4 linked regions of the Anolis sagrei genome follow. The protein of the gene in region 2 purifies or fractionates together with the protein of the main gene of each other region. This does not show direct contact. Links are inferred from orthologs where the notes say so. Each region holds a gene or a part of one and is shown on either strand. Other genes may lie near its edges. The genes, in order: POP7, POP1, RPP30 and RPP38.

The links.
Region 1: the proteins of POP1 (region 2) and POP7 purify together in Homo sapiens (affinity purification with mass spectrometry; 3 studies listed by BioGRID and IntAct, with this or other methods). This does not show direct contact. The link is inferred for Anolis sagrei from reciprocal best matches to the Homo sapiens genes POP1 and POP7.
Region 3: the proteins of POP1 (region 2) and RPP30 purify together in Homo sapiens (affinity purification with mass spectrometry; 5 studies listed by BioGRID and IntAct, counting the BioPlex papers as one, with this or other methods). This does not show direct contact. The link is inferred for Anolis sagrei from reciprocal best matches to the Homo sapiens genes POP1 and RPP30.
Region 4: the proteins of POP1 (region 2) and RPP38 purify together in Homo sapiens (affinity purification with mass spectrometry; 3 studies listed by BioGRID and IntAct, with this or other methods). This does not show direct contact. The link is inferred for Anolis sagrei from reciprocal best matches to the Homo sapiens genes POP1 and RPP38.

The regions. Positions count from the first base shown.
Region 1 is NC_090026.1:2,663,762-2,670,712, reverse strand, and holds the start of POP7 (ribonuclease P protein subunit p20), read right to left. Parts: upstream 3,028-6,951; 5' UTR 2,915-3,027; intron 1-2,914. UniProt on the Homo sapiens protein: Component of ribonuclease P, a ribonucleoprotein complex that generates mature tRNA molecules by cleaving their 5'-ends. Also a component of the MRP ribonuclease complex, which cleaves pre-rRNA sequences.
Region 2 is NC_090024.1:32,123,098-32,130,029, forward strand, and holds the start of POP1 (ribonucleases P/MRP protein subunit POP1), read right to left. Parts: upstream 3,004-6,932; 5' UTR 2,859-3,003; intron 1-2,858. Other genes in the region: RIDA (2-iminobutanoate/2-iminopropanoate deaminase), read left to right, coding at 3,175-3,239. UniProt on the Homo sapiens protein: Component of ribonuclease P, a ribonucleoprotein complex that generates mature tRNA molecules by cleaving their 5'-ends. Also a component of the MRP ribonuclease complex, which cleaves pre-rRNA sequences.
Region 3 is NC_090023.1:184,795,408-184,802,833, reverse strand, and holds the start of RPP30 (ribonuclease P protein subunit p30), read right to left. Parts: upstream 3,023-7,426; 5' UTR 2,978-3,022; coding exon 2,896-2,977; intron 1-2,895. UniProt on the Homo sapiens protein: Component of ribonuclease P, a ribonucleoprotein complex that generates mature tRNA molecules by cleaving their 5'-ends. Also a component of the MRP ribonuclease complex, which cleaves pre-rRNA sequences.
Region 4 is NC_090026.1:104,826,712-104,834,102, reverse strand, and holds the start of RPP38 (ribonuclease P protein subunit p38), read right to left. Parts: upstream 3,023-7,391; 5' UTR 2,970-3,022; intron 450-2,969; 5' UTR 416-449; coding exon 1-415. Other genes in the region: ACBD7 (acyl-CoA-binding domain-containing protein 7), read left to right, coding at 5,048-5,059. UniProt on the Homo sapiens protein: Component of ribonuclease P, a ribonucleoprotein complex that generates mature tRNA molecules by cleaving their 5'-ends. Also a component of the MRP ribonuclease complex, which cleaves pre-rRNA sequences.

The sequences.
Region 1 (6,951 bases), on a different chromosome or scaffold from region 2:
CCCGCCAACCGAACCTGTGTTGCAGGCAGGATCGAGAGCAGGACCTCCCCGGAAGATCTCAAAGTCCTAGTGGGTTTGTAGGCGGAGATGCGATCGGATAGGTAACTTGTAAACCAGTCCAGGTGGTCCCAGTAGTAATAGGTAAACCAGTCCAGGTGGTCCCAGTAGTAATGGGCACACTGGGTGCCGTGCCAAAAGATCTCAGCCGGCATTTGGAAACCATAAACATTGACAAAATCACGATCTGTCAACAACAGGAAAAACTCAGCCACTATCAAGACCTCAACTATCAACACTGACAACATCACAATCTGTCAACTGCAAAAGGCCACCTGACTTGGATTTACACGCATCATTCGAAAATACATCACACAGTCCTAGACGCTTGGGAAGGGTTCAGATTGCGATTCTGTGATGCGAAATCCAGCATAAAGATCTTGTTTGCTGTGACATACTCTGCTTTTGTGCCAATAATAATAACATAAATAAATAATTTATTTCTTACCGGGCTGGAGGCGGGTTACAACATTGGAAAACACATAACCAGAACACATAATCATTTAACACTCCAAGGAGTACACATATTATAGTTGCATGACATGCATATTAAAATACACAGAACAAAAGTTAGACATAGATTATTATTATTATTAATAATAATAATAATAATAATTGAGAACTATTATTAATAATAATAATAATTGAGAATTGCAGTTTCTAAAGTCACTACTGACACAACAAAAATATTATTATTATTATATAAAATATAGTCACTTTGATGTTATATTATTATAATATTAAAAATATAGAACTAGCCGTCCCCTGCCACATGTTGCTGTGGTCCAGTCTGTATATATGTGCTTTGTGTGTGTGCATATATGTGTGTATATATTTGTGTATCTGTGCATATATGTGTGTTTGCGTGTATGTGTATGTATATATATGTGTGTGTAGATGTGTATATATTTGTGTGTTTATATGTGTATATGTATATTTTGTATATGTGTGTGCTTGTCTATATGCATATTTGTGTGTATATATGTGTGCATGTATGTGTGCATGTGTATATTTGTGTGTGCATGTGTATATGTATGTATGTATGTATATGTATGTATGTGTGTATATGTATGTATGTATGTGTGTATATGTAGATGTATGTGTGCATGTGTATATGTATATGAGTGTAAGTGTGTGTGTATGTATATGTGTGTATGTGTGTATATATGTGTGTATCTATCTATCTATCTGCTGGTTTGTTTGTTTTTTTGTATTTTTAGGGTGATGGTCACTTGTTGGTCTGATAGTTGTTTTGTGTCTAAATTTGGTGTCAATTCGTCCAGTAGTTTTTGAGTTATGCTAATCCCGCAAACAAACATTACATTTTTATTTATATAGATAATATAGTGATAATAATATATTTTATTATGATTATTATTATGTCTATTTATATTCCATATTTCTCTCCAGCAAGGAGAATCCCCCCCCCTTAAGAGGCCTCTTTGAAACATTCCCCCCAACCCAAAATCCCCCTTACAAACTAGTATTGGACTGCATTTCCCAGCCCCTTGAGGACTACAACTCCCATTATCCCTCAGACCCAGTTTTGGACTATAGCTCCTCTAATTCCCCACTTCAGAGGCCTGTTTAGCTGGGAAACTTTCCCTCCCAACCCAGCACCCCCCTTACAAACTAGTATTGGACTGTACTTCCCAGCCCTTTGTGGACTACAACTCCCATTATCCCCCAGAGCCAGTTTTGGACTGTAGCTATTCGAATCCCCTCCCTTCAGAAGCCTGTTTAGCTGGGAAACATTCCCCCCCAACCCAGAATCCCCCTTACAAACTAGTATTGGACTACATTTCCCAGCCCTTGGTGGACTACAACTCCCATTATCCCCAGACCCAGTTTTGGGCTGTATCTCCCAGAATCCCCTCCCTTCAGAAGCCTGTTTAGCTGGGAAACATTCCCCCCCCCCAACCCAGCATCCCCCTTACAAACTAGTATTGGACTGCATTTCCCAGCCCTTTGTGGACTACAACTCCCATTATCCCCCAGACTCAGTTTTGGATTGCAGCTCCTCTAATTCTCCACTTCAGAGGCCTGTTTAGCTGGGAAACTTTCCCCCCCAACCCAGAATCCCCCTTACAAACTAGTATTGGACTGCATTTCCCTGCCCCTTGAGGACTACAACTCCCATTATCCCCCAGAGCCAGTTTTGGACTGTATCTCCCAGAATCCCCTCCCTTCAGAAGACTGTTTAGCTGGGAAACATCCCTCCCAACCCAGAATCCCCCTTACAAACTAGTACTGGACTGCATTTCCCAGCCCTTGGTGGACTACAACTCCCCTTATTCCCCAGAGCCAGTTTTGGACTGTAGCTCCTCTAATTCCCCACTTCAGAGGCCTGTTTAGCTGGGAAACAATCCCCCCCAACCCAGAATCCCCCTTACAAACTAGTATTGGACTGCATTTCCCAGCCCCTTGAAGACTACAACTCCCATTATCCCCCAGACCCAGTTTTGGACTGTAGCTACTCGAATCCCCTCCCTTCAGAAGCCTGTTTAGCTGGGAAACCTTCCCCCAACCCAGAATCTCCCTTACAAACTAGTATTGGACTAAATTTCCCAGCCCCTTGAGGACTACAACTCCCATTATCCCCCAGAGCCAGTTTTGGACTGTAACTACTCGAATCCCCTCCCTTCAGAAGCCTGTTTAGCTGGGAACCATTCCCCCAACCCAGAATCCCCCTTACAAACTAGTATTGGACTGCATTTCCCAGCCCTTGGTGGACTACAGCTCCCCAAATCCCCCATAGCCTTGAGGATTCTGAGCATTGCTGCAGCACTATCCCCTCCTCCCTGGACTCTTCCCCTTCCCCAAAATCCCCCTTTTGCAAAATTGCTTTGCTTCCCACCTTGTTGTTCTTTTCCTTTTTTTCCCGGGAAAATAAAAGAATGCCCTCAAAAGGGCAGCTGCTCCTGGCTTCAGGCACGCATGCGTCTCGCCGATTTCCGGTTTCCGCTTGGAACGTTCAACGTAGAAAGGGAGGGAGGGAGGAGGGAGGCAAAGAGACCATAGATCTAGACTATTTTTTGTTAGAGTGATTCAGAGGAGTCTAACTTTCGGGTCGCTTTGGAGGAAAAGAGAGAGATGCAGCAAAACAATCTCTGAGTAAGTACAGAATTTGGAAGAATTTTACAGAATTACAATAATAAACTTTATTTATAATAATAATAATAATAATAATACATTTATAATTAAATAGAATTAAAATTACTGTACTGGAAAAATGTTGATTTGAAAATTATTATTACTGTATTAATAATAGTAGTATATTTTACTTATTTATTTATATATACAAGTGAAACAACTACAACAAAACTATGGGTCCTCCCATATTTTTAATATGTGTGTGTGTGTGTATATATTTAAATACATATATTCAATATTGTTTATATTTAATCCTGTTTTAATGTCTGCATATTGTATATTTTGAATTGTTTGCTAATGTTGTAATGTTAAGCTACTTTGAGTCTCCTGGAGGAGAGATAAAGCAGAGTATAGATATAATACAGTAATAATTACATATTGGCCACGGTAGTCCACGCTCTGGTTACATCCCACCTAGACTACTGCAACGCTCTCTACGTGGGGTTGCCCTTGAAGATGGCCCGGAAGCTTCAATTAGTCCAACGCGTGGCAGCCATGATGTTAACAGGAGCGGAGCGCAGGGAGCATACAACCCCCCTGTTGCGCCAACTCCACTGGCTGCCGATCTGCTATCGGGCTCAATTCAAGGTGCTGGCGTTGGCCTTTAAAGCCCTAAACGGTTCCGGCCCAAGCTACCTATCTGACTGCATCTCTGCCTATGAACCCACCAGGACTTTAGGATCTTCCAGGGAGACCCTGCTCTCGATCCCGCCTGCTTCTCAAGCATGGTTGGCGGGGACGAGAGACAGGGCCTTCTCGGTGGTGGCTCCTCGGCTGTGGAACGCTCTTCCCACAGACATTAGACTAGCACCATCTCTAATGGTATTCCGCAAAAAAGTGAAGACCTGGATGTTTGAGCAGGCGTTCGAATAACTAGTGCAATGATTGGTAATGAACATACGAATGGAACAATGGATGACGAATCTGGATTATGTTTTTGATAATGAGACGACTGTGATCGGTTATCGTAGTAAGTGTTTATTGATTGGGTAATGTGTTAAGTTGCTAATTGTTGTTATATTTTGCATTGAATTATTGCTGTTTGTATTTGTTGTGAACCGCTGTGAGTCGCCTTCGGGCTGAGAACAGCAGTATATAAGTAAAGTAAATATATATATATATATATATATATACACACACTACACACTACTATAATAATAAAAACAGTAATAATAATAATATATTATTATTATTACTGTATTTATTATAGTAGTCCTGCCCTGAAAGCCTTCAACAATAATATAATTAATATAATTATATAATATTAAAATAAAATAAAATATTATTATATTATATTGTAATATTATATTGTAATATAATATTATATTATTATTATTATATAATATTATTATATAATATTATAATATTATATTATTATTATATTTCTTATAATATTATATTATAATATTATATTACAATATAATATAATAATATTTTATTTTATTTTAATATTATATAATTATATTAATTATATTATTGTTGAAGGCTTTCAGGGCAGGACTACTATAATAAATACAGTAATAATAACAATAATAATTACATATATATACACTATACACTGCTGTAATAAATACAGTAATAATAATATATTAATATTATTATTATTATATTACTGTATTTATTATAGTAATCCGGCCATGAAAGCCTTCAACAATAATATAATGAATATAATAATATAATATAATAATATTATATAGCAATATATTATATTATATTATATTATATTAATATTACAATATATTATAATATTGTAATATAATATTATAATATAATATTATAATTAATATAATAATATAATAAATATATTAACAATAAATAATAACAATAATAATTACATACATATACACTATACACTACTATAATAAATACAGTAATAATAATAATAATAATAATAATATATTATTATTATTATTATTATTATTATTATAATATTACTGTATTTATAATAGTAATCCGGCCATGAAAGCCTTCAACAATAATATAATAAATAAAAAATATAATATAATAATATTATATAGCAATATATTCTATTATATTATATTAATAATATAATATTATAATATAATATAATATTGTAATATAATATTATATTATAATATAATATAATAAATATAATAATAATATAATAACTACAGTAATAATAACAATAATTACATATATATATACACTATACACTACTATAATAAATACAGTAATAAATAATAATAATACTAATTATTATTATTATTATATTACTGTATTTATTATAGTAGTCCGGCCATGAAAGCCTTCAACAATAATATAATAATATAAAAATATAATATAATAAAAATATTATATTATATATTACAATATTATATTATATTAATAATATGACATAATAATATATTATAATATTGTAATATTATAATTAGAAGGGAGCAGGCTCCACCTGACTCCATATCCCAGAACTGAAAGGGGGCACCCAACGGCCATCCAACCCAATCCAAACCCCATTCTGCCGGGCAGAAAGACTCCAAAGGCTGCAAAATGGGTTCGGAGTAGTTTCTGTTGCATCAACACAATTAGGAAAAGGTCAATTTATGCAGGAAAAGCTCTAATTATGAATCCAGTCTTCCCGGGCTTTGTTTACCTTACTCTCAAGTAAAACAAGAACAACAAACCTTGACTGATAATGTACAAAACCAGAAAAATAGAAAAAATCCAGACATTTATTATTTTGTTGACATCCCGAAAAATGCAAACAGTAAAAAGAAAATCCTTGAATGATTTCAGTGATCTGTTGAGAAATAGAACGACGTTGGCTACATATATAAAACGACAGAAATTTGGGGGTAAAAGGGACCATACATTTCCCTCCATATATCCTTCCTTCCTTCCTTCCTTCCTTCCTTCCTTCCTCTCTTTTTTCTCCTTCCTTCCTTCCTTCCTTCCTTTCTTCCTCTCTTTCTTTCTCCTTCCTTCCTTCCTTCCTCTCTTTTTTCTCCTTCCTTCCTTCCCCTCTTTCTTTTGTCTTCCTGCCTTCTTTCCTTCCCCCCTTCCCCTCTTTCCTTCCTTCCTTCCTTCCTTCTATCCTTCCCCTTTTTCTTTCTCCTTCCTTCCCCTCTTTTTTCTCCTTCCTTCCTTCCTTCCTTCCTTCCCCTCTTCCTTTCTCCTTCCTTCCTTCCTTCTTTCCTTCCTTCCTTCCTTCCTTCCCCTCTTTCCTTCCTTCCTTCCTTCCTTCCTTCCTTCCTTCCTTCCCCTCTTTCTTTTTCCTTCCTTCCTTCCCCTCTTTCCTTCCTTCCTTCCTTCCCCTCTTTCTTTTTCCTTCCTTCCTTCCCCTCTTTCCTTCCTTCCTTCCTTCCTTCCTTCCTTCCTTCCTTCTTTCCTTCCTTCCCCTCTTTTTTCTCCTTCCTTCCTTCCTTCCTTCCCCTCTTTCTTTCTCCTTCCTTCCTTCCTTCCTTCCTTCCTTCCTCCCCTCCCCTCTTTCTTTCTCCTTCCTTCCTTCCTTCCTTCCTTCCTTCCTTCCTTCCTTCCCCTCTTTCTTTCTCCTTCCTTCCTTCCTTCCTTCCTTCCTTCCTTCCTTCCTTCCCCTCTTTCCTTCTCCTTCCTTCCTTCCTTCCTTCCTTCCTTCCTTCCTTCCTTCCTTCCCCTCTTTCTTTCACCTTCCTTCCTTCCTTCTTTCCTTCCTTCCTTCCCCTCTTTCTTTTTCCTTCCTTCCTTCCCCTCTTTTTTCTCCTTCCTTCCTTCCTTCCTTCCTTCCTTCCTTCCTTCTTTCCTTCC
Region 2 (6,932 bases):
TCCAGGAGAGAAACATGTAAGGCACTTGCAGTCAGAGAAGCTGATGAATACCTAAAAGAATACATCCTGATCTAGTGAAAGAAATTACACTAAATATATCACAAGTGGACTGCTGCAAAAGAATAGACCTAGCAACTGATACTTATCTCAATGTTTGGTTAGTTCAATACTGACAGTTTTTTGTCTTCTATTATCTTGGATCCACTATCCTCAAACTGCAGAGCCAGATGCTGAGTCAACGTAGGCCCCTTTCAGTAGTATTGGTTGGAAAAAGCCACCCATTTATGCACCTTAGCTTATGGAGGAGGAGTAATACATCTTTTATATACTCTTGCCCAGATATTGGACACCTACCTCAGCTCGTTGGAAGCCATAAACTACATTATGCTTTTAATGTTTTCTTGGTCTAACTTGTAACATGTGGGATTTTATCGCAGTAAATGTATGTGATGTGTTAGATTATGTTTATTTAAGTTTTAATTTTGAGGGTTTTTTTTTTGTTTAGTTCATAGGCTTATATTGAGATTGTCGTATCTATTGTTTCTGGTTTGATTTGTTGTTCATCTGTTTTTGGCACTGAATGTTTGCTATTTTGTTAGTCCCTGAAAACTGCCCTGAATCCCCTCGCATTGATAGGGCAGGTTACAAATAAAGTATTATTATGATTATGATTACTTTTCCAGGCTGGGTCTACACTGCCCTATAATTCATTTATTTATTTGCAGTATTTCTATCCCACCTGTCTCAGCTCAAAGGTGACTCAAGGCGGCTTACAAAATGGCAGCAATTTGATGCCACAACAGTCATAAATACCATTAAAACATTTAACATAACATAATAAAAATCCATATAAAAACCACATAAAAACCATTAAAAATATAACTTCCAGTTAAACTCATTTTCCATTAGCATCGTCTAAGCCGTTCCATGTTCAGTCTTTCATAGTACCATATTTATCTATTACGCTGTGTTTCCAAAAGCTTGTTCAATAAGCCAGGTCTTTACTTTTTCCCTGGAATGTCAGTTGTATGCTCCTGGAGCACTGCTCCGATTAGCAACCTGGCTGCCACCCGCTGGACCATTTGAAGGTTCCAAACAGTCTTCAAAGGCAACCCCACACAGAGCGTGTTGCATTAGTCTATACGGGATGCAACCAGTGCGTGGACTACCGTGGCCAAGTCAGACTTTCCAAGGTACGGGCACAGCTGGCGCACGAACTTTAACTGTGTAAATGATCACGGCGGAAACCAGGGGTTCCAGGCTCAACAATGAATTTATTTATTTATTTATTTATTTACAGTATTTGTATACCACTTTTCTCACCCCGAGGGGGACTCAAAGCGGTTTACAGATAAGTAATGGCAAAAAATTCAATGCCAGTACAAACAATTACAATTATACACTACAATTAGACATAAATTAAATTTAAAAATCTCCCTGGAGACTAGGACGCAGAACAATGGCTTCAAACTACAAGGAAGGAGATTCCATCTGAACATGAGGAAGAACTTCCTGACTGTGAGAGCCGTTCAGCAGTGGAACTCTCTGCCCCGGAGTGTGGTGGAGGCTCCTTCTTTTGAAGCTTTTAAACAGAGGCTGGATGGCCATCTGTCAGGGGTGATTTGAATGCAATATTCCTGCTTTTTGGCAGGGGGTTGGACTGGATGGCCCATGAGGTCTCTTCCAACTCTTTGATTCTATGATCCATGAGCAATAAAATAATCATTAAAACAATAAAACAAGTCTCATCCATTGAATCGCCGTTCCAGTAGTTGTCTTTCTGAAATGCTGCATACATTTATTTCTACTGCCCGAAGGCCTGGTCCCAAAACCATGATTTTATTTTTTTTCTAAAAGCCAGGAGGGAGGGAGCGGATCTCACCTCATTTGGGAGTGTGTTCCATAGGCAGGGGGCCACAGCCGAGAAGGCCCTGTCTCGTCCCCACCAGGTGCATCTGTGCCGTTGGCAGGAGAGAGAGAAGGGCCTCCCCGGATTATCTTAGATTACGAGGTGGGACGTAGGTGTGGATACGTTTGGACAAGTAAGCTGGGCCCGAATCATATAGGGCTTTATAGGTCAAAACGAGCTCTTTGAATTGGGCTCGGAGATGGACAAGCAGCCAGTGGAGCTGGCATAGCAGGGGGGTGGTATGCTCCCTGTATGCCGCCCCAGTTAGTAATCTGGCTGCCGCCCGTTGAACTAGCTGAAGTTTCCGAACCATCTTCAAAGGCAGCCCCACTTAGAGCGCGAATGAATCCAGGATCACACCCAAGCTGCGAACCTGCGTCTTCAGGGGGAAGCATAACCCCATCCAACACAGGCTGCAACCCTATGCCCTAATTGGCCTTTCGACTGACCAGATGTATTTCTGTCTTGTCTGGATTCAGTTTCAATTTGTTCGCCAATAATAATAATACAATATAATGTATATATTGTACAATAAAACTATATAATGCAGAGGAAGGCAAAGACAATCCCTGCAAAATCTTGCCAAGAACCCACCTGACCTTGAAACTTAAGCAGAGACAGCCCTGGTTAGTGTTTGGATGGGAGAAAGGGGCTGGACTGGATGACCCTCTTTGGGGTCCCTTCTGTTGGGATGGACTAACTTGGGCCCTCCAGGTGTTTTGGATTCCAACTCCCACCATTCCTAACAGCCTCAGGCCCTTTCCTTTCCCCCCTCAGCCGCTTAAGCAGCTGAGGGGGAAAAGGAAGGGGCCTGAGGCTGTTAGGAATGGTGGGAGTTGGAGTCCAAAACACCTGGAGGGCCTAAGTTTGCCCAGGCCTGATGTAGAAGCACCCATTGTGGCCCCATTTCCCTTGCTTCCCTCTTCCTCTCAGTCTTATCCCCTTTTACCTGCGATACTGGCCTAGGCCTCAAATGAGGAGAGAATCAGTCAGCTTTCCCCCTCCGCTTCTCTTCTGGCCACGCGCGGCGCCCACTTCCGGCTTCCTCGAGACTGCATTCCTCCAAAACTCTCTCTCTCGCGGGAGGGCTACGGTGGGCGGGGAGGTTCTCAATACTGCTGAATGAATGGCGCGCGAGTTTTAGAGGAGGGCGGGGCCAAGGGAGGAGGACGGGTAAAGTCCGGGAGGCAAGGCTGAGTTCTTACACTCACTTGCTAGGTTTTCTTTTCGGCTTGTGAGTGGACTCAGAAAGGATCAATCTGATCATGGCCACCTTAGTGAAGAGGATCATCACTTCTGCGAAGGCTCCTGCCGCCATAGGACCCTACAGGTAGGAGTCAACCGTTCTCCTGCGGAACTCCCCGCTGCTGGATGCGGTTGAAGCGCGCTATAAGACTGCTTGGGAAGAGGAAGATGAGACAAGCTCAAGGGGAATCCTATCAGTCAAACAAGATGGACTTTGTTGCCTGGTTTGATCTGAATTGCTTTTGTTATATGATAATGATGCTTATTTATATCTTGCCTTCAATATATTATATAATACTGATAGTATTATATACTGGTAGTGTATTGTATATGCTGTATAATAATTTAGTACAATATAATAATATATAATAATATAATATTTATTTATTTATTTATGTACTGCCCTTCTCACCCCAAAGGGGACTCAGAGCAGCTTACAACATATATATTATATTATATTATTATATTATATTATATTACATTATATTATATTATTAGCATAGCACAATATCAGTATTATATATTACTATATGTATATTATTAAGTCCAGTCAGGTCTGACTCTGGGGTGTGGTGCTCATCTCCATTTCTAAGCCGAAGAGCCGGCATTGTCCATAGACACCTCCAAGGGTTATGTGGCCAGCATGACTGCATGGAGCGCTGTTACCTTCCCGTCGGAGCGGTACCTATTGATCTACTCACATTTGCATGTTTTCGAACTGCTAGCATGGCAGAAGCTAGAGCTGACAGCAGAAGCTCACACCGCTCCCCGGAATCGAACCTGTGACTTTTCAGTCAACAAGCTCAGCAGCTCAGCACTTTAACCCACTGTGCCACCAGGGCCCCGTATATACAATATATTATATTATATTATTAGTATAGCACAGGAGACAAGATGGAACTGCCTTCCTGGCCCCGCTCTCTTCACTCCGGCCTTCTTTACATGTAATATTACTAATAACATTGCAGTATAGTACAATATAGTAATATATAATACTAATATTGTGCTATGCTAATAATATAATATATTATATATACATATAATACTGATAATATTATAATGTGGTCACAATATAATACTAATAATACAATATAATAATATATAATAATATTGTAAGATGGTGATACTATGGGCTCTCCAGTGGCACAGCGGGTTAAACCGCTGAGCTGCTGAACTTGCTGGCCAAAAGGTTGACGGTTGGAATCGGAAAGTGGGGTGAGCTCCCACTGGTAGCCCTAGATTCTGCCAACCTAGCAGTTTGAAAGCATGCAAATGTGAGTAGATCAACAGGTACAGCTTCTGCGGGAAGGTGATGGTGCTCCATGCAGTCATGCTGGCCACATGACCTTGGAGGCGTCTACAGACATAGAAATGGAGATTAACACCACCCCTCAGAGTTGGACACGACTAGACTTAATTTCAAGGGTATCCTTTACCTTTATATAGTAATACTAATATATTAAATATAATTATTTCTGATAATATATAATGATATATTAGTGTATATTTGCATATTTTAAGTAGGAATGTTTTTGATGGTGAGCCGCTTTGAGTCTTAGTATAGAGAGATAAAGCAGGATCCAAATAAATAAATAGAGAGATAAAGCAGGATCCAAATAAATAAATAAATAAAATCCATAGATGCAGGTGAAACGTCAGGAGAGAATGCCTCTAGACCATGGCCATATAGCCCGAAAAAACCTACAACAACCCAGTGATTCCGGCCATGAAAGCCTTCGACAATGCATTAAATAAAAGTGGCTTGCAGCCCTAAAAGCAATATGGATTACAATTTAAAAGCTATAACATTACCTGCTTTGAACTGGGATTTATGGCAGTGTGGGCTCAGAGATTCCAGTGCAAAGCAGATATTGTGGGTTATTCTGCAGTGATATTCCGGGTTATATAGCTGTGTGAAAGGGCCCTAACTCCCCAATAGGAATCCACTAGTAAAGCACATGTGATTATCTAATATTGGTTTAAATGCACAATGAAAGAAGTGTGTGTGTGTGTGTATACATTAATTCTATGAATGTCTAGGTCTTCCGACACAAGTTTATGATCAACTTCTGCAGTGAGCTGACCATAGAACTGCATTAGAGGACTTCGAAATGTGTAGAACATAACATTTTAAATTCAATCAATGCATAATCAAAGCCACGAAAATCAAAACTGCAGAAGGACAACTGTATATCAATGTAGTGAAGGAGAGGAAAACTAGTGCTGGTTCAGAGGGTTTGTTATCTCTCCATTTCCATTTTTCACTGAATAAACCATTGATTTGTTCCATAGTCTCAAACCTAAAGTTATGATTAAGCTTAGTATGCACTGAGATTTTTTTCTCTTGTGAAAACAAAGATCTTTCACAAATGCAAGGCTTACCAGGAGGATGTAGATTTATCAGCTTTCGTTGCAAAACCAAAGATCCCAGAAATTGAGGAAGATAAATATTGACTTCCTTTCTTTTTTTTTTCTCTTCAAAATATATTTGAAAGTAATATGCCATTTGGAAAAAGGGCCAAGAATAAGGTATACTTACAGCTGTGAGTGACAAGTGAATGATCTTTACTTGTGTGTCAGTGTTTTGGGACTTTCTGGGGTTACATCTCAACCATAAAATTATTTTTGTGGCTACTTCATAACTGTAATTTTGCTACTGTTATAAATAATAATGTAAATTATGTGATATGCAGGATGTATTTTCATACACTGGATCAAATTTGGCACAAATACCCGATACTCCCAAATTTGAATACTGATGGGGTTGGGGTGGATTGATTTTGTCATTTGGGAGTTGCAGTTGCTGGAATTTATAGTTCACCTACAATCAAAGAGCATTCTGAACCCCACCAATGATGGAATTGAACCAAACTTGGCTCACAAAACTCCCATGATCAACAAAAAATACTGGAAGGATTTTGTGGGCATTGATCTTGCGTTTTGGAGAGTTGTAGTTCACCTACATCCAGAGAGCTCTGTGGACTCAAACAATGATGGATCTGGACCAAACTTGGCACAAATACTTAATCTGCCCAAATGTGAATACTGGTGGAGTTTGGGGAAAATAGACCTTGACATTTTGGAGTTGTAGTCATTGGGATTTATAGTTCACCTACAATCGAAGAGCATTCTGAACTCCACCAACGATGGAATTGAACCACACTTGGCACACAAAACTCCCATGATCAACAGAAAATACTGGTGGGCATTGACCTTGAGTTTTGGAGTTGTAGTTCACCATCATCCAGAGAGCTCTGTGATCTGGACCAAACTTGGCACAAATACTCAATCTGCCCAAATATGAACACTGGTGGTGTTTGGGGGAAATAGATTTTGGCATTTGGGAATTGTAGTTGTTGAGATTTATAGTTCACTTAAAATCAAAGAGCATTCTGAACCCCCACCAAGATAGAATTGGGCCAAACTTTCCACACAGAACCCCCAGGGTGTACAGAAAATACTGGAGGGATTTGGGGTGGATTGACAGTGATTTAGTGATGTAATTCACCTACATCTGGAGAACACTGTGAATTCAAACGACTATGCAAAAGGGGTTCCTAAGACCTTAAGAAATATGTGTTTTCTGATGGTCTTTGGTGACCCCTCTGAAACCCCCTCCTGACCCCTCCGCAGGGGTCCCGACCCCCAGGTTGAGAAACACAAATTTAGATGCAACCCTAGTCCAACACTTATCACTATACTACCCTGACTCTCAAGATTATACTAGACCGTCAGATATGCTTACTACATATAAAGGACTTCGTTACATTCTTAGAAA
Region 3 (7,426 bases), on a different chromosome or scaffold from region 2:
TTTTGTGAGTGTGTTGCTGTGTTGTTTTTCATTTTGAGTAGATATGTTTGTACCTTGTGGGTTGTGTTATGGGCACGGGGATTTTAGTTAAGTTTCGTTGGGGGATTTTTGAGTTTTGTTGTTTTGCCGTTTTGTGAGTGTGTTGTTGTGTTGTTTTTCATTTTGAGTAGATATGTTTGTACCTTGTGGGTTGTGTTATGGGCACGGGGATTTTGGTTAAGTTTCGTTGGGGGATTTTTGAGTTTTGTTGTTTTGCTGTTTTGTGAGTGTGTTGTTGTGTTGTTTTTCATTTTGAGTAGATATGTTTGTACCTTGTGGGTTGTGTTATGGGCACGGGGATTTTAGTTAAGTTTCGTTGGGGGATGTTTGAGTTTTGTTGTTTTGCCGTTTTGTGAGTGTGTTGTTGTGTTGTTTTTCATTTTGAGTAGATATGTTTGTACCTTGTGGGTTGTGTTATGGGCACGGGGATTTTGGTTAAGTTTCATTGGGGGTTTTTTGAGTTTTGTTGTTTTGCCGTTTTGTGAGTGTGCTGTTGTGTTGTTTTTCATTTTGAGTAGATATGTTTGTACCTTGTGGGTTGTGTTATGGGCATGGGAATTTTGGTTAAGTTTCGTTGGGGGGTTTTTGAGTTTTGTTTCCTCGTTGGATGCCCCTAACAAATTTATATATATAGATTATTGTCATTATAAAGTAGTTAAGACAACATCACATCCAAACCTCAGAGGTCTTCAGCCAATAAGCTGAATTTTATTTTCACAAGAAGAGTAATTTCAAAAAATCATCATAAAAATAACAATCCATTGATTATATGAAGTGCTCCTTGTATACCAAGCAAACACAAAGGAATTAAATTTTGGTGCAAACTGATTCAATTCGGTGTATGTTAGCAAGAAAAGGAATCACTCATTTTGCAATTTGTGATCATTCAAAGTATGTTGTGTACATTACTTGTATAGTTAGTGTAGATTCATATAATGCCTTGAAATGCATTTACACTGACCATACTGCATGATAGGGCAGTGTAGATGGGGATAGAAGCGGAAAGAGATATCAGATAATGTGGATTGTCTGCTTTGATATTCTGTGCCCCCTTCTACACACCTCAATAAAATCCCACATTTTCTGCTTTGAACTGAAATACATGGCAGTGTGGACTCAGATAACACAGTTCAGAACAGACATTATGGTATTTTCTGCCTTGATATTCTGGATCAACTGGCAGTGTAGAAGAGACCTCGATCTAATCCAGTTCAAATAATCTGGATTCCGAAAATGGGGGCCTTTCTACACTGCCATATAATCCAAATTATCAAAGCAGATAATCCACATGACTGAGCCGCAGGGAGAGGCGGATAAGAAATCTAATTATTACAGTAGAGTCTCGCTTATCCAACCTTCGCTCATCCAGTGTTTTGTATTATCCAACACAGTTTGCCTCCCACCTGTTTCACTACATTGCAATGTTTTGGTGCTCAATTCATAAATACAGTAATTACTACATAACGTTACCATATACTGAACTGCTTTTTCTGTTGATTTGTTGTAAAACATGATGTTTTGGTGATTAATTTGTAAGATCATAACATAATTTGACGCTGATCTGGGATATATGACAGTGTGGACTCAGATAACCCAGTTCAAAGCAGATATTGTGGGATTTTCTGCCTTGATATTCTGTAGTGTAGAAGGGCCCTGGATGTATACTATCATATAATCCCGTTTAAACCAGACAATCTGTATTCAGAAACTGGGGACCTTTCTACACTGCCATATAATCCAGATTATCAAAGCAGATATAACCAACATTATTTGGCTGCAGAGAGGCGGGTAAGAAATAAATTATTATCTGCTTTGAACTGGATTATATGAGTCTACATTGTCGTATAATTCAGTTAAAGCGGATCATCTGGATTTTATATGGCAGCTAAGGCCACTTACACACAGCTGTATAAAATCTCACATTATCTGCTTCGAACTGGGTTATATGGCAGTGTGGACTCAGATAACCCAGTTCAAAGCAGATATTGAGGGATTTTTTGCCTTGACATTCTGGAATATAGGTTTGTGTGGAAGGGCCCTTACATGGATGAATATGATGACTCAGTAAAGGGCTACATCTACACTGAAGAATTTATTACCCTGGCTCTATACAATGTGATCATGGGAGTTGTAGTTTCGCCCTTCCAGACAGGCCCTATATCCCAGGATCAGATCCCAAGTTATTGTCGAAGGCTTTTCATTTCTGGAATCACTGGGTTGCTGTAGATTTTTCGGGCTGTATGGCCATGCTCTAGAAGCATTCTCTCCTGACGTTTCGCCTGCATCTATGGCAGGCATTCTCAGAGGTTGTGAGGTCATAACCTCTTAGGATGCCTGCCATAGATGCAGGCGAAACGTCAGGAGAGAATGCTTCTAGAACATGGCCATATAGCCCGGAAAACCTACAGCAACCTAGAGATCCCAAGTTGTCTGCTTTAAACTGGATTATATGAGTCCACACTGCCAGATAATCTGGGATAAACAGAAAACCTGGAATCAGATCCTGAGATACAGGGCATGTCTGGAAGGGCCCTTTGGTAGAGAAGGCTAAAGACCTGATCAAACTACAACTCCCACGATCTCATAGTATTGATCTAGTGCAAAGTGCAGTTGTAACGCATTCATTCTACAGTGTAGATGCACCCAAGTCAAAGTGCATCAGGAGGTGTTTCTTACGGAGCCAAGGGACAAATTAGTTAAGGCAGAAGAGGGTCCAAAGAGAGCAAAGGGAAAGGAGAAACAGTGCCAGCCAGCCCTTTATCGCAGCCTGGGTCTGGATCTCTGAGGGAAACACGTGTCCACGCATTCCCACGCATTCCCAGGCTGCCTGATTCCCTGCCCCTGACACACACTCACGGTGCGCCGCGGTTTCCACCAACTTCCGAAGCGCCTCCTTCTCCGGCAAGTGAGGGATGTTCAGATCCACAAAGCCCGCCATGTTGCACCCGCCCACGTGGGCTAGAGCCAGGCCAGAAAGGCAGCCCTTCCACGCCCCGCCCACATCGCGCCCCGTTGCATGCTGGGGATTGTAGTTCCCTCCCCCAGCAGTAGACTCTCAAGCTCACCAGCATCCTTAGTAGATGCCAAATGAATGTAGTTTGTGCTTGCTTAAGAGCAACTAAACATAGGCACAACTAATACTATACAATACCATTCTGTAAACTCTGGGCCCTTCCAGACAGGCCCTATATCCCAGGATGTGATCCCAGATTATCTGTTTATCCCGGATTATATGGCAGTGGGGACTCATATAATCCAGTTCAAAGGAGATAATCTGGGATCAGATCCTGGGATATAAGGACTATATATACTACTAATATGATATTATAATTATATATTTTATATGACATGTAATATTACTAATAATATTACAATATAATGGTATTGTACAATGTAGAAATATATAATACTGATATTGTACTATGCTAATAATGTAATATATTGTATGCATACATATCTTGTGGGAGCCCCCGGTGGCGCATTGGGTTAAACCGCTGAGCTTGTAAACTGAAAGGTCGCAGGTTCGAATCTGGGGAGTGGGATGAGCTCCCGCTGTCAGCCCCAGCTTCTGCCAACATAGCAGTTCGAAAACATGCAAATGTGAGTAGAAGGTAACGGGAAGGTAAGGGCGCTCCATGCGGTCATGCCGGCCGCATTACCTTGGAGGTGTCTACGGACAACGCCGGGGAGTGGGATGAGCTCCCGCTGTTAGCCCCTGCTTCTACCAATCTAGCAGTTCGAAAACATGCAAATTTGAGTAGAAGGTAACAGGAAGGTAATAGCGCTCCATGCTGTCATGCCGGCCGCATTACCTTGGAGGTGTCTACGGACAATGCCTGCTCGTCAGCTTAGAAATGGAGATGAGCACCAACCCCCAGAGTCGGACACGACTGGACCTAATGTCCGGGGACAACCTTTACCTATATATATCTTGTAAGCCGCTCTGAGTCCCCTTTGTGGTGAGAAGCTGGCATATAAATGTTGTAAATAAATAAATAAATAAGGCCCCTTCCACACAGCTGTATAAAATCCATATTGAACTGGATTGTATGGCAGTGTGGACTCAGATAATCCAGTTCAAAGCAGGTATTGTGGATTATCTACCTTGATATTCTGGATGATATGGCTATGTGGAAAGACCCTGAAAGAACTGAGAAAAGGAGCATCAAAACAAAAACTTTAATGTTTGGACATAATACATACATTTTGGCATTGAATGCTTGCCACTTTGTTACTTTTGTTGTAAACTATCCTGAGTCCCTTTGGGGAGATATTGCAATATATAAACAAAGTATTATTATTACATTTTTAAAAGTTACATCATTTTTAGAAATAATGTAAGTTTTGGAAATAAATACAGGAAAATGTGCATTGTGTTGTTTTTATTTATTTATTTATTTATTTATTTACCGCATTTGTATACCATCTTTCTCAGCCAGAGGCGACTCAAGGCGGTTCATAGTCGGCAGTGATTAGATGCCATAACAATTATCAAAATACAGTTCAAACAATTATAAAAACAATTCAACATTTAGTATGTAATATAAAAGAAACAATAATGTCTATAAAAACAAAGTCCTCGGCGTCTCCTTACTAAAATTGTTGTCCATATATTCGTTTTGTCTAATTATGCTCTATATATTCGTTGTCCATATATTCGTTTTCATCTAATTATGCTCCAATAGAAAAAGCTTGCTTGAAGAGCCAGGGCTTAACAATTTTGAGGAATGCTAGAAGGGAGGTAGCCAATTTTATATCCCTGGGAAGGGCGTTCCATTGCCGAGGAGCCACCACTGAGAAGGCCTTGTCTCTCGTCCCCTCCAAATGCATCTGCAAGGAAGGCGGGATCGAGAGCAGGGCCTCCCCGGATGATCTTAAAGTCCTAGCAGGTTCATAAGGAGAGATACGTTCGGATAGGTAAGCCGAACCGGAACCATTTAGGGCTTTATAGGCTAAAGCCAGCACTTTAAATTGTGCCCGGTAGCAGACTAGCAGCCAGTGGAGCTGGCGCAACAGAGGAGTCGTGTGCTCCCTGATTCAAAACAATTTTTTTCATTTTTTTAAAAAAATACTTTTTATTATTTTCCCCAGAAAAACTAATTTTTGCTTAATTTTCTCATTCTCCCTTCAACTGCTTGACATCTTAGGTATCCTGAGATGATCATTTCTCTTTCACTAACTTTAGGGCCAGCCTTGTGCCATGCTTTGAACGGATATAACACCATTTTGTACTTGGAGGCATTACCCTGCTAACTTTCTTGATGACAGTTTACAGCAGGGCTGGGAATCATAAAAAGTTTGGCAGATGTACTTTAACTGTGCTTCTCAGCAGCCCTGGTCAGTAGAGCCAACCATAAGGAATGCTGGCATTGCAGTTCAACAATATCTCAAGGGCAACATGATTTTGCTTTAGAGCCGCAGTTCCCTAACTGTGTTCCTTGGAACCCTAGGGTTCTGCAAAAGCAATGTAGGGGTTCTGCAAAGAAGCCAATATTATACTGATTCCAATAGAAGATCAAGATCCCCTACAAATACAGAATTACAGACCCTTTTCATTGCTAAACACAAATTATACAATATTTGCTTTAATACAGGCAAATAGATTAAAGCAGGGGTTCTCAAACATTTTCAGCCATGGAACTCTTTTGGAAGCAAAACTTTTACGTGGAGCCCAAGAATGTTTATATATTATCCTATATATTGTACTATATAAAATGTATATATAGTATAATATAGAGTATAATATAAAATAGCAATAATAATATGATATTATAATTATAGATTTTATATTACATGTAATATTACTAATAACATATTATACTATATATACTGTATATATAGTATAATATATAGGATAATATATAATAACAATAATAATATGATATAATTATAGATTTTATATTACATGTGTTATCACTAATAATATTACAATATAATGGTATAGTACAATATAGTAATATATAATACTGATATTGCACTATGCTAATAATATAATATATTGTATGTATGTGTATATATGTGTGTGTGTGTATGTGTGGGTATATATATATATATATATATATATATATATAGTAAGCCACTCTGAGTCCCGTTGGGGGTGAGAAGGGTGGCATATAAATGTCGTAAATAAATAAAAAATAAATATGTTCCCCCTGGTGGTGCACCAGGTTAAACCACTGAACTGCTGAACTTGCTGGCAGTTCGAATCTGGGGAGCGGGTGAGCTCCCCCTGTAAGGCCCAGCTTCTGCCAACCTAGCAGTTCGGAAACATGCAAATATGAGTAGATCAATAGGTACCACTTCTGCGGGAAGGTGATGGCGCTCCGCAGGAAGGTAATGGTGCTCCGTGCAGTCATGTTGTCCACATGACCTTGGAGGTGTTTCTGGACAACACTGGCTCTTCAGTTTAGAAATGGAGATGGGCACCACTCCCTGGAGTCAGACATGCCTAGACTTAATGTCAGGGGAAATCTTTACGTTTACCTTTATGTACATATATCAGGCATGGGCAAACTTTTTGACACATTGCATTTTAAAATTTGACAGCAGACTGGGCTAGGGGCAGATGGATGGAGTGTGTTTGTGTGAACTGCTTGAAAAAAAACAGTAATAATCATCATAATGATAATAAACTCTATTTGTAACCCACCCTATCTCCCTCAGGGCGGTTTCTAGGAAAAATGGCAAACAGTCAATGCCATAAAACAATACAAAATGAACGAATACTCCCAAGAATAAAACATCTAAGGCAAGTACAATAACTACTTCATAAATTTAAATAATTAAATAAAGCACGTGAATCTAATTAATGGGAATCTAACAAATTCCAATGACACTGCACATATCTTATTCATTGTGCAAGAAAAAAGGAAAAGGAAAGAAATAATACAATATTAAAAATGGAAAACAATTTTAACTAAGAAGAAGGGAACCACGAAGTCCCTCAGTATGCTAGACAGAGCCCCAAGGGCTCTGCAGAGCACACTTTGAGAACTGCTGGATTAAAAAAAGTGCTAACTGGATGGATACATGAAGACCAAGCAGGTTTCTTACCTAGAAGACAAATGAGAGAGAACACGAGAATGATACTCAATCTGATAGAATATTTTCATAAGTGTAGTGAAAAATAAGGAGCCCTCCTGTTCTTAGATGCAGAAAAAGCATTCAAAAATTTTAATTGGGAATTCATGAAAGAAACAGTCACAATGGGAAAATGTGGACAAAACTTCCTGAATGGATTAGAGATAATATATACTAAACAATTTGCAACATGAAATTTGAATCTGCACCACTGATTGACTTTTGGGTAGGACTGATAGACATATACCTTTCAGGAGCTGGAATGGCTACCCAAGCTCTGTTCCCCTTTGTGTCTACCTATCAATGC
Region 4 (7,391 bases), on a different chromosome or scaffold from region 2:
GAGATGTGAGTAGCGTAGGCGAGGCAGATTTACACACCAGTACAAGACGTAGCTCATTTTTTTCTAAGGCTCGTGTGACTTCATTAATCCCAATGGCAAGCTGATTTCTGATCTCCACGTTGGTCCAGCCATGTAGTTGAACCTCTTTGTTTTCATTCTCGTCTTGAAGCTCACCTATATCGGCACAGCGTTGTTCCTTCTTTTGTTTTTGCCCATGGAAGGGTTTCTTCCGCCTCCGAAGCTCGACCTTTTTGAAAGCAAGACGCTTCAGAATATCTTCCAAAGCCTCCAATATGAAGTGCATATTTCCTCCTTCCATAGAGCGCCACTTGAGGGCAAAGGGATTGTTCAAAGATGTCTTTACAGTTATGTGTTTTGACTTGCGGAGGGTCCCCTTCCCTTCCTGAGCAGACATCCTGATGCTCTCGTGATTCCTCCACACTTGAGTTCTAGATTAAAAACAGCAAGAAGTATTGAGAACAACACCAAACAACTACAATGTCTGAACATGGTAGACCTCACAACCTCTGAGGATGCTTGCCATAGATGCAGGTGAAACGTCAGGAGAGAATGCTTCTAGAATATGGCCATACAGCCCGAAAAAACCTACAACAACCCATGGTAGAATTTATTCCTCGCAGCACCATTATAGCATATTATTGTGTGCTGATACCTTGCAGCACTTGGAAAGGTATATTTTAGGATTACAAGTCCTAGAATCCCCAAGCCAATGTGGTTGAGACTTTCTACTAAAAAGGTACTTTTCCAAACTCTGATGTTAGGATGAAAAGCAGAGAGAAGGATAAATAAAGCAGACAGAGCCTGCCACAGAAAATAACCCCATCATATTAAAAAGAGCATATATTGTTTTGGGAATGGAAATCATAGAGTTGGAAGAGACCTTGTGGGCCATCTAGTCCAACCTCCTGCCAAGAAGTAGGGAAACTGCATTCAAAACACCCCTGACAGATGGCCATCCAGCCTCTGTTTAAAAGCCTCCAAAGAAGGAGCCTCCACCATACTCAGAGGCAGAGAGTTCCACTGCTGAACAGCTCTCGCTGTTAGGAAATTCTTCCTCATGTTCAGGTGGAATCTGAACATGGAAGAGCCTAGTGAAAGAAAATATTATGTATATACTCAAGTATAAGCCTAGATTTTCAGCTTTTTTAGGGCTGAAAAAGCCTCCCTTGGCTTATACTCGAGTGAGGGTCCTGGCAGGAAGGTGTGGGGCTGAAAGAAGCCCTTCTCACAAGCTCTGAGGATGTTTGCCATAGATGCAGGCTAAACGTCAGGAGAGAATGTCTCTAGAACCATATAGCCCGGAAAAAACCTACAACAGTCCAGAAGCCCTTCTTTCAGCCCCTTCTCGCCAGGATCCTCACGTCTGCACAGCAACCCAACTCTCCTCTCTTGCACGCTTGTCTTCCTTCTCCCCCTCTCTTGCGCGCCTTCCTTCCTCTCCTCTTTCTCGGTGACCCTGGCCCCAGAAGTCAGAGAGAAAAGGGCACATCGCTGCCATTCTTTGCAAAGGCAGCGGCTCCTCAGAAGTGGCATCTTCCCTATTGATTCCAGAGCATGATGTATGGAATGTTGGTAGTAAAAGGGGAGAAAGAAGGAAGTAATGAGAGAAGGAAGAAAGGAACAGAGGGGGAGGGAAAGAGCGAGAAGGGGGAGGAAAGGAGATGGGAGGGAAGTTAGGAGAAAAGGAAAGATGGGAAAGAAGGAATGGATGTTTTGCCCACATCTATGGCAAGCATCCTCAGAAGTTGTGAAGTCTGTTGGAAACTAGGCAAGTGGGGTTTATATATCTGTGGAATGTCCAGGGTGGGAGAAAGGACTCTTGTCTGTTTGAGGCAAGCGTGAATGTTGCAAATGATCACCTTGATTAGCATTGAATGGCCTTGCAGCTTCAAAGCCTGGTCGCTTCCTGAATGTAAAAATAATACTGAAAATCTTGGGAATATTTGGGGTTAGGTAAAGGTAAAGGTTTCCTGACATTAAGTCTAGCCGAGTGCAACTCTGGGGTGTGGCGTTGTCCGTAGACACCTAGGTCATGTGGCCGACATGACTGCATGGAGCGCCGTTACCTTCCCGCAGAAGCGGTAACTATTGATCTACTCACAATTGCATGTTTTCAATTTGTTCGGTTGGCAGAAGCTGGGCCTAATAGAAGGAACTCACCCTGCTCCTCAAATTGAAACCGCCAACCTTTTGAGGGTAGGGGAGTACCAAACATAACGCACAAATGTTCATGTTTGAGAAACAGCGAGAAACTTCAGGCTTAGTGGGGTTTTCGACCTTGCTCGCCTTTCTTCTAACCTGAAATTCTTATTATTCATTGTCCCAAATCGAATAAGCAGGTCATGAAAAGCACCAATTACTGCCTGAAATTAGAAGCTAAGCAGGGTCAGCCATGGTTAGTCCTTGGATGGGAGGCTGCCAAGGAATACCAAGCTTTAGGATGCATTTTCAGAAGAACTGGCAAAAACACTAATAATAATAACAATAATAATACAAACTCGGGTCTAGACTCAGGACTATTCTGAGTATTCCTTGCCTAAGAAAACCCTCTCAAATTCATGGAGTGGTAATAGGGTGCATCTACACTGTTGAGTTAACGCAGTTTGATACCACTTTTCAACTCCCAGGGCTCAACACTATGAAATCCTGGGAGTTGTAGCTTGGTGAGGAACCAGCCCTGAAGATCGTGTACAGCTACAAACCCAAGATCCCATTGCATGGCACATTAAGTGGTGTCGAACTGCGCCAATTCTGCAGTGTGGATGCACCCCAGAGCACACGTGGCTGCCATGGCTGCTTTAAAAACATGCCCAGGGATCACCAGCAGACTCTCGCCCTGCTAAACAGCACCTAACCTGGTTTCCCCCCTCTTCCCACAAATGCTACTCCGATTCTCAGTTTCTAAAACCCTCTAAAAACACGCAAAAAGGCAAAGTGATTGTACTCACACGGTTGTGCTGGAAGGGAAGCGGAAGAGGCTGGCTCTCCGGCTCAATTTTAGGCGGAGTCTACAAAGCAGAAGTGAGTCAGTGGCTGTTCTCCCTCCACTGGCCTCTAGAGGGCGCTGTGGGGCCATGTTTTCACCGCATGCCTTTGTTTACTACTCCCACTGTGCTGAACTGGGCTTCCTTCTGGGAGCATCTACACTGCAGCATTAATGCAGTTTGGTTCCGCTTTGATTGCCGTGGCTCAATGCTCTGTAATCCTGGAAGTTGTAGTTTTATAAGGTCTCTCGCCTTCTCTGCCAAATAATGTAGATATCTAACTAAATTACAACTCCCACTAGTCTATAGCATTGAGCCATGTCAGATAAAGTGGTGTCAAACTGCATTCATTCTAGAGTTTAGGTCAGGTATGGGCAAACTCAAGTCCCTCCAGATGTTTAGCCTCTGGGTTGCTGAGTTTTCCGAGTTGTTTGACCATGCTCCAGAAGCATTCTCTCCTGACGTTTCGCCTGCATCTATTTATTTATTTATTTATTTACGACATTTATATGCCGCCCTTCTCACCCCAAAGGGGACTCAGAGCAGCTTACAAGTTATATGTAAATACAATATATTATATTATTAGCATAGCACAATATTAGTAACATACATTCCCATATAGTACTCTACTAGTATATTGTAATATTATTAGTAATATTACATGTAATATGGAATATATAATTATTATATTGTATTACATTATAATATTATCAATATTATATTGTATACAATATATTATATTATTAGCACAGCAGAATATTAGCATTATGTATTACTATATTGTACTATACCACTATGCTGTAATAGTATTAGTAATATTGCATGTAATATGAAATATATTATTAGTAGACTGTATTATTATTATATTGCAGTACATAACAACATTATCAATATTATATGTGTATACAATATATTATTACCACAGTACAATATTAGTATTATGTATTAGTATTATGTTGTGCTAATATATTGTATTATTAGCATGTTGTATTACATAATAATATAATCAATATTATATGTGTATACAATATATTATTATCACAGCACAATATTAGTATTGTGTGTTACTACATTGTACCGTACCACTATACTGCAATATTATTAGTAATATTACATGTAATATAAAAATATAATTTTATATTGTATTATTATTAGTATTATGTTGTATTACATTATAATATTATTATCAATATTATATGTGTATACAATATATTATATTATTAGCACAGCACAATATTAGTATTACGTATTACTATATTGTGCTATACCATTAGACTGCAATATTATTAGTAATATTACATGTAATATGAATTATATAATTATTATATTGTATTACATTATATTATCAATATTATATGTGTATACAATATATTATATTATTAGCACAGCACAATATTAGTATTATATATTATTATATTGTGCTATACCACTATACTGTAATATTATTAGTAGTATTATATTGTATTACATTATAATATTATTATCAATATTATATGTATATACAGTATAATAAATATATTATCTTTGGCAGGCATCCTCAGAGGTTGTGACTAAATCCTCCCTAGACCTCTCCAAACTACAAATCCCAGGGTCCCATAGCTTCCAGCCATGACAATTAAAGTGAGCTCACACTGAATTGATTCCTTATCCCTAGGAAAACTACATCTCCCATGTCACTTAAAGTGCTGTCAAACTACTTCGATTCTGCAGTGTAGAAAATCCCATTGAAACAGGATATGGTTGCCCTGTTTAGTGGAACCCTCACTCGTTGGTAACTCGTTACTCTGCAGCCAGTAACGCGTTACATTAGATCAGTTACTGCCTTCCTCTCCTCCAAGGCAGCAGACGCCTCCTCGCTGGTGCTTTGTTTTGGAAGACTGCGTGAGTGACGTCACAATGGCCCTGGACCAATGAGGGGCGAGAACGGTCTGAAGCCGGGGATATAAAAGGGGCTGCTGCAAAAGCAGTCAGAATTGGAGAGCAGAGGCACTTTTGGTAGGAGAGTGAGTGAGGTGGTGCCTTTCATTCAGGAATTTAGCAGCATGCCTCTCCAGGTAAGAAAATAAAGGAGCTTATTTTTTGGGGGGTGATTCATCTGCACTGCAGAATTGAATGCTGTTTGACACCACTTGGCTCAATGCTGTGGAGTCCTGGGAGTTGTAGTTTTCTGTGTCATTCCTATTTGAATGCTGAAAACCTTGTCAAACTTCAACTCCCGATATTCTCTAGTATAAACTCAGGGCATGCAGAGGGTTGGTTGTTAAACTTCATTACTTCCCCAGTATAGAATAATTCTGAATTTTAAAAGTTTTGTTCCCATATAAGACTATAATGCTTTATTACCTGAGCTAAGTCCCAGGACTGGCTCTAATTTGACAGGTTAACAGTGATATGGGATACACTCTTCACATGCCTGAATACCCTAAATGCGCCAGATACTGTGTGAGCTAAGGAGGGCCAGCCTTGGTTAGTGCTTGGATGGGAGACCACCATATAACAGATGCTGTAGGCTATGTTTCAGTGGCAGGAATTAGCAAAACCACCTTACCTAATTAAACACTATGAAATTTGTAGGATGGCCTTGGAGGCACATATTGATGATGAGCAAATGGGTTTGGCTATTATGGCTTTGCATTCTCTTACGCCCAGGCTTGTAGACACAGGAGTCACATACCAGTGCTATTCCTGTGGTGCTGAACTACAACTCGCATCAGCAGTTGTCACTAAGATCATTAGGAGCTGGGGGGGGGGTGCAATGGGTTCAACCCTTGTGCCGGCTGAACTGCTGGCCTGAAGATCAGCAGTTTGAATCCATGAGATGGGGTGAGCTCCTGTCTGTTAGCTCCACCTTGCCATGCAGGGACATGAGAGAAGCCTCCCACAGGATGGTAACACATCCAGGGCGTCGCCTTTGGCAATGTCCCCGTAGACGGCCAATTCTCTCACACCAGAAGCGACTTGCAGTTTCTCAAGTCGCTTCTGACATGATTAAAAAAAAACATTTGAAAGAGCCGATCCACTTTAACGCACTCCACTATGGACTGCCTTTGAATATGTTTTGTATGTAGTAGAGGGTAAATTTTACATTGTACTGTTTCGTGAGCTACTTTGATCCTCTTTTAAGAGAGGAAAGAGGAAATAAATAAATATTTTTATAATAATACATTTAGATGGGGAAGGAGAAGAGTGTCCTCCAAATTTTGTTGGACTGCAACTCCCATCATCTCTGGCTTGCACAGCCACTGGTGAGGAATGATGGGAAATGCAGTCAGTACCGTCTTTTATTTATTTATTTACTTCATTTGTATACCGCTTTTCTCAGCCCTTAGGTGACTCAAAGCGGTTAACAACAGCAACAGCAAAAATTCAATGCTAACATCATACAAGCCATTTAAAAACAATTAACACAATAACACACTAAGCAATTAAACATCAATAAACATCTCATTAGCATCTCATAATAGAATCATGATCCAAACTCATCATCCGTTGTTCCGTTTTCCTTTATTCATATCTTCATTGCACTGCCTATCCAAACGCCTGTTCAAATAACCAGGTCTTCACTTTTCTCGGAAATGCCATTAGGGAGGGAGCCGATCTAATGTCCGTGGGAAGGGCGTTCCACAGCCGAGGAGCCACCACTGAGAAGGCCCTGTCCCTCATCCCCGCCAAACGTGCCTGTGTTGCAGGCGGGATCAAGCAGGGCCTCCCCACAGGATCTTGAAGTCCTAGTGGGTTTATAGGCGGAGATGTGTTCGGATAGGTAACTTGGCCCAGAACCGTTTAGGGCTTTATAGGCCAATGCCAGCACTTTGAATTGTGCTCGGTAGCAAACTGGTAGCCAGTGGAGCTGGCGCAACAGAGTAGTTGTGTGCTCCCTGAGTGCCGCTCCTGTTAGTATCCTGGCTGCCGAACGTTGAACCATTTGAAGCTTCCGAGCAGTCTTCAAAGGCAACCCCACGTAGAGAGGAGCTTAAGCGGCTGAGGGGGAAAAGGAAAGGGCCTGAGGCTGTTAGGAATGGTGGGAATTGACGTCCAAAAGCTCTGGAAGGTCCAAATTTGCCCTAGCCTGATCTAGAGTGTTGCATGTTTCATGCCTCGGTTTAAAATGGTAACCAGGGCTGAATGCATAAGCTATATATAACCTCATCTTACTCTTCCCACACAATTAATTATGCAAAGGAAATTAATTAGTGATGGTTACAGGATGAAAAAAGGTTGTGAAATTGCTTGGGGCACCCAGAACTTGCCTTGTCCCATGGATTTTGGGATTTCAATTTTGAGCAATACTAAGCCATGGCTTTCAGGGATTTATTTGGAGAGTGCATTTGGCTGCCCTCCTTTCATGCTTTCCCATGCTCTGCTGTTTGCATCAAACGTGATCTT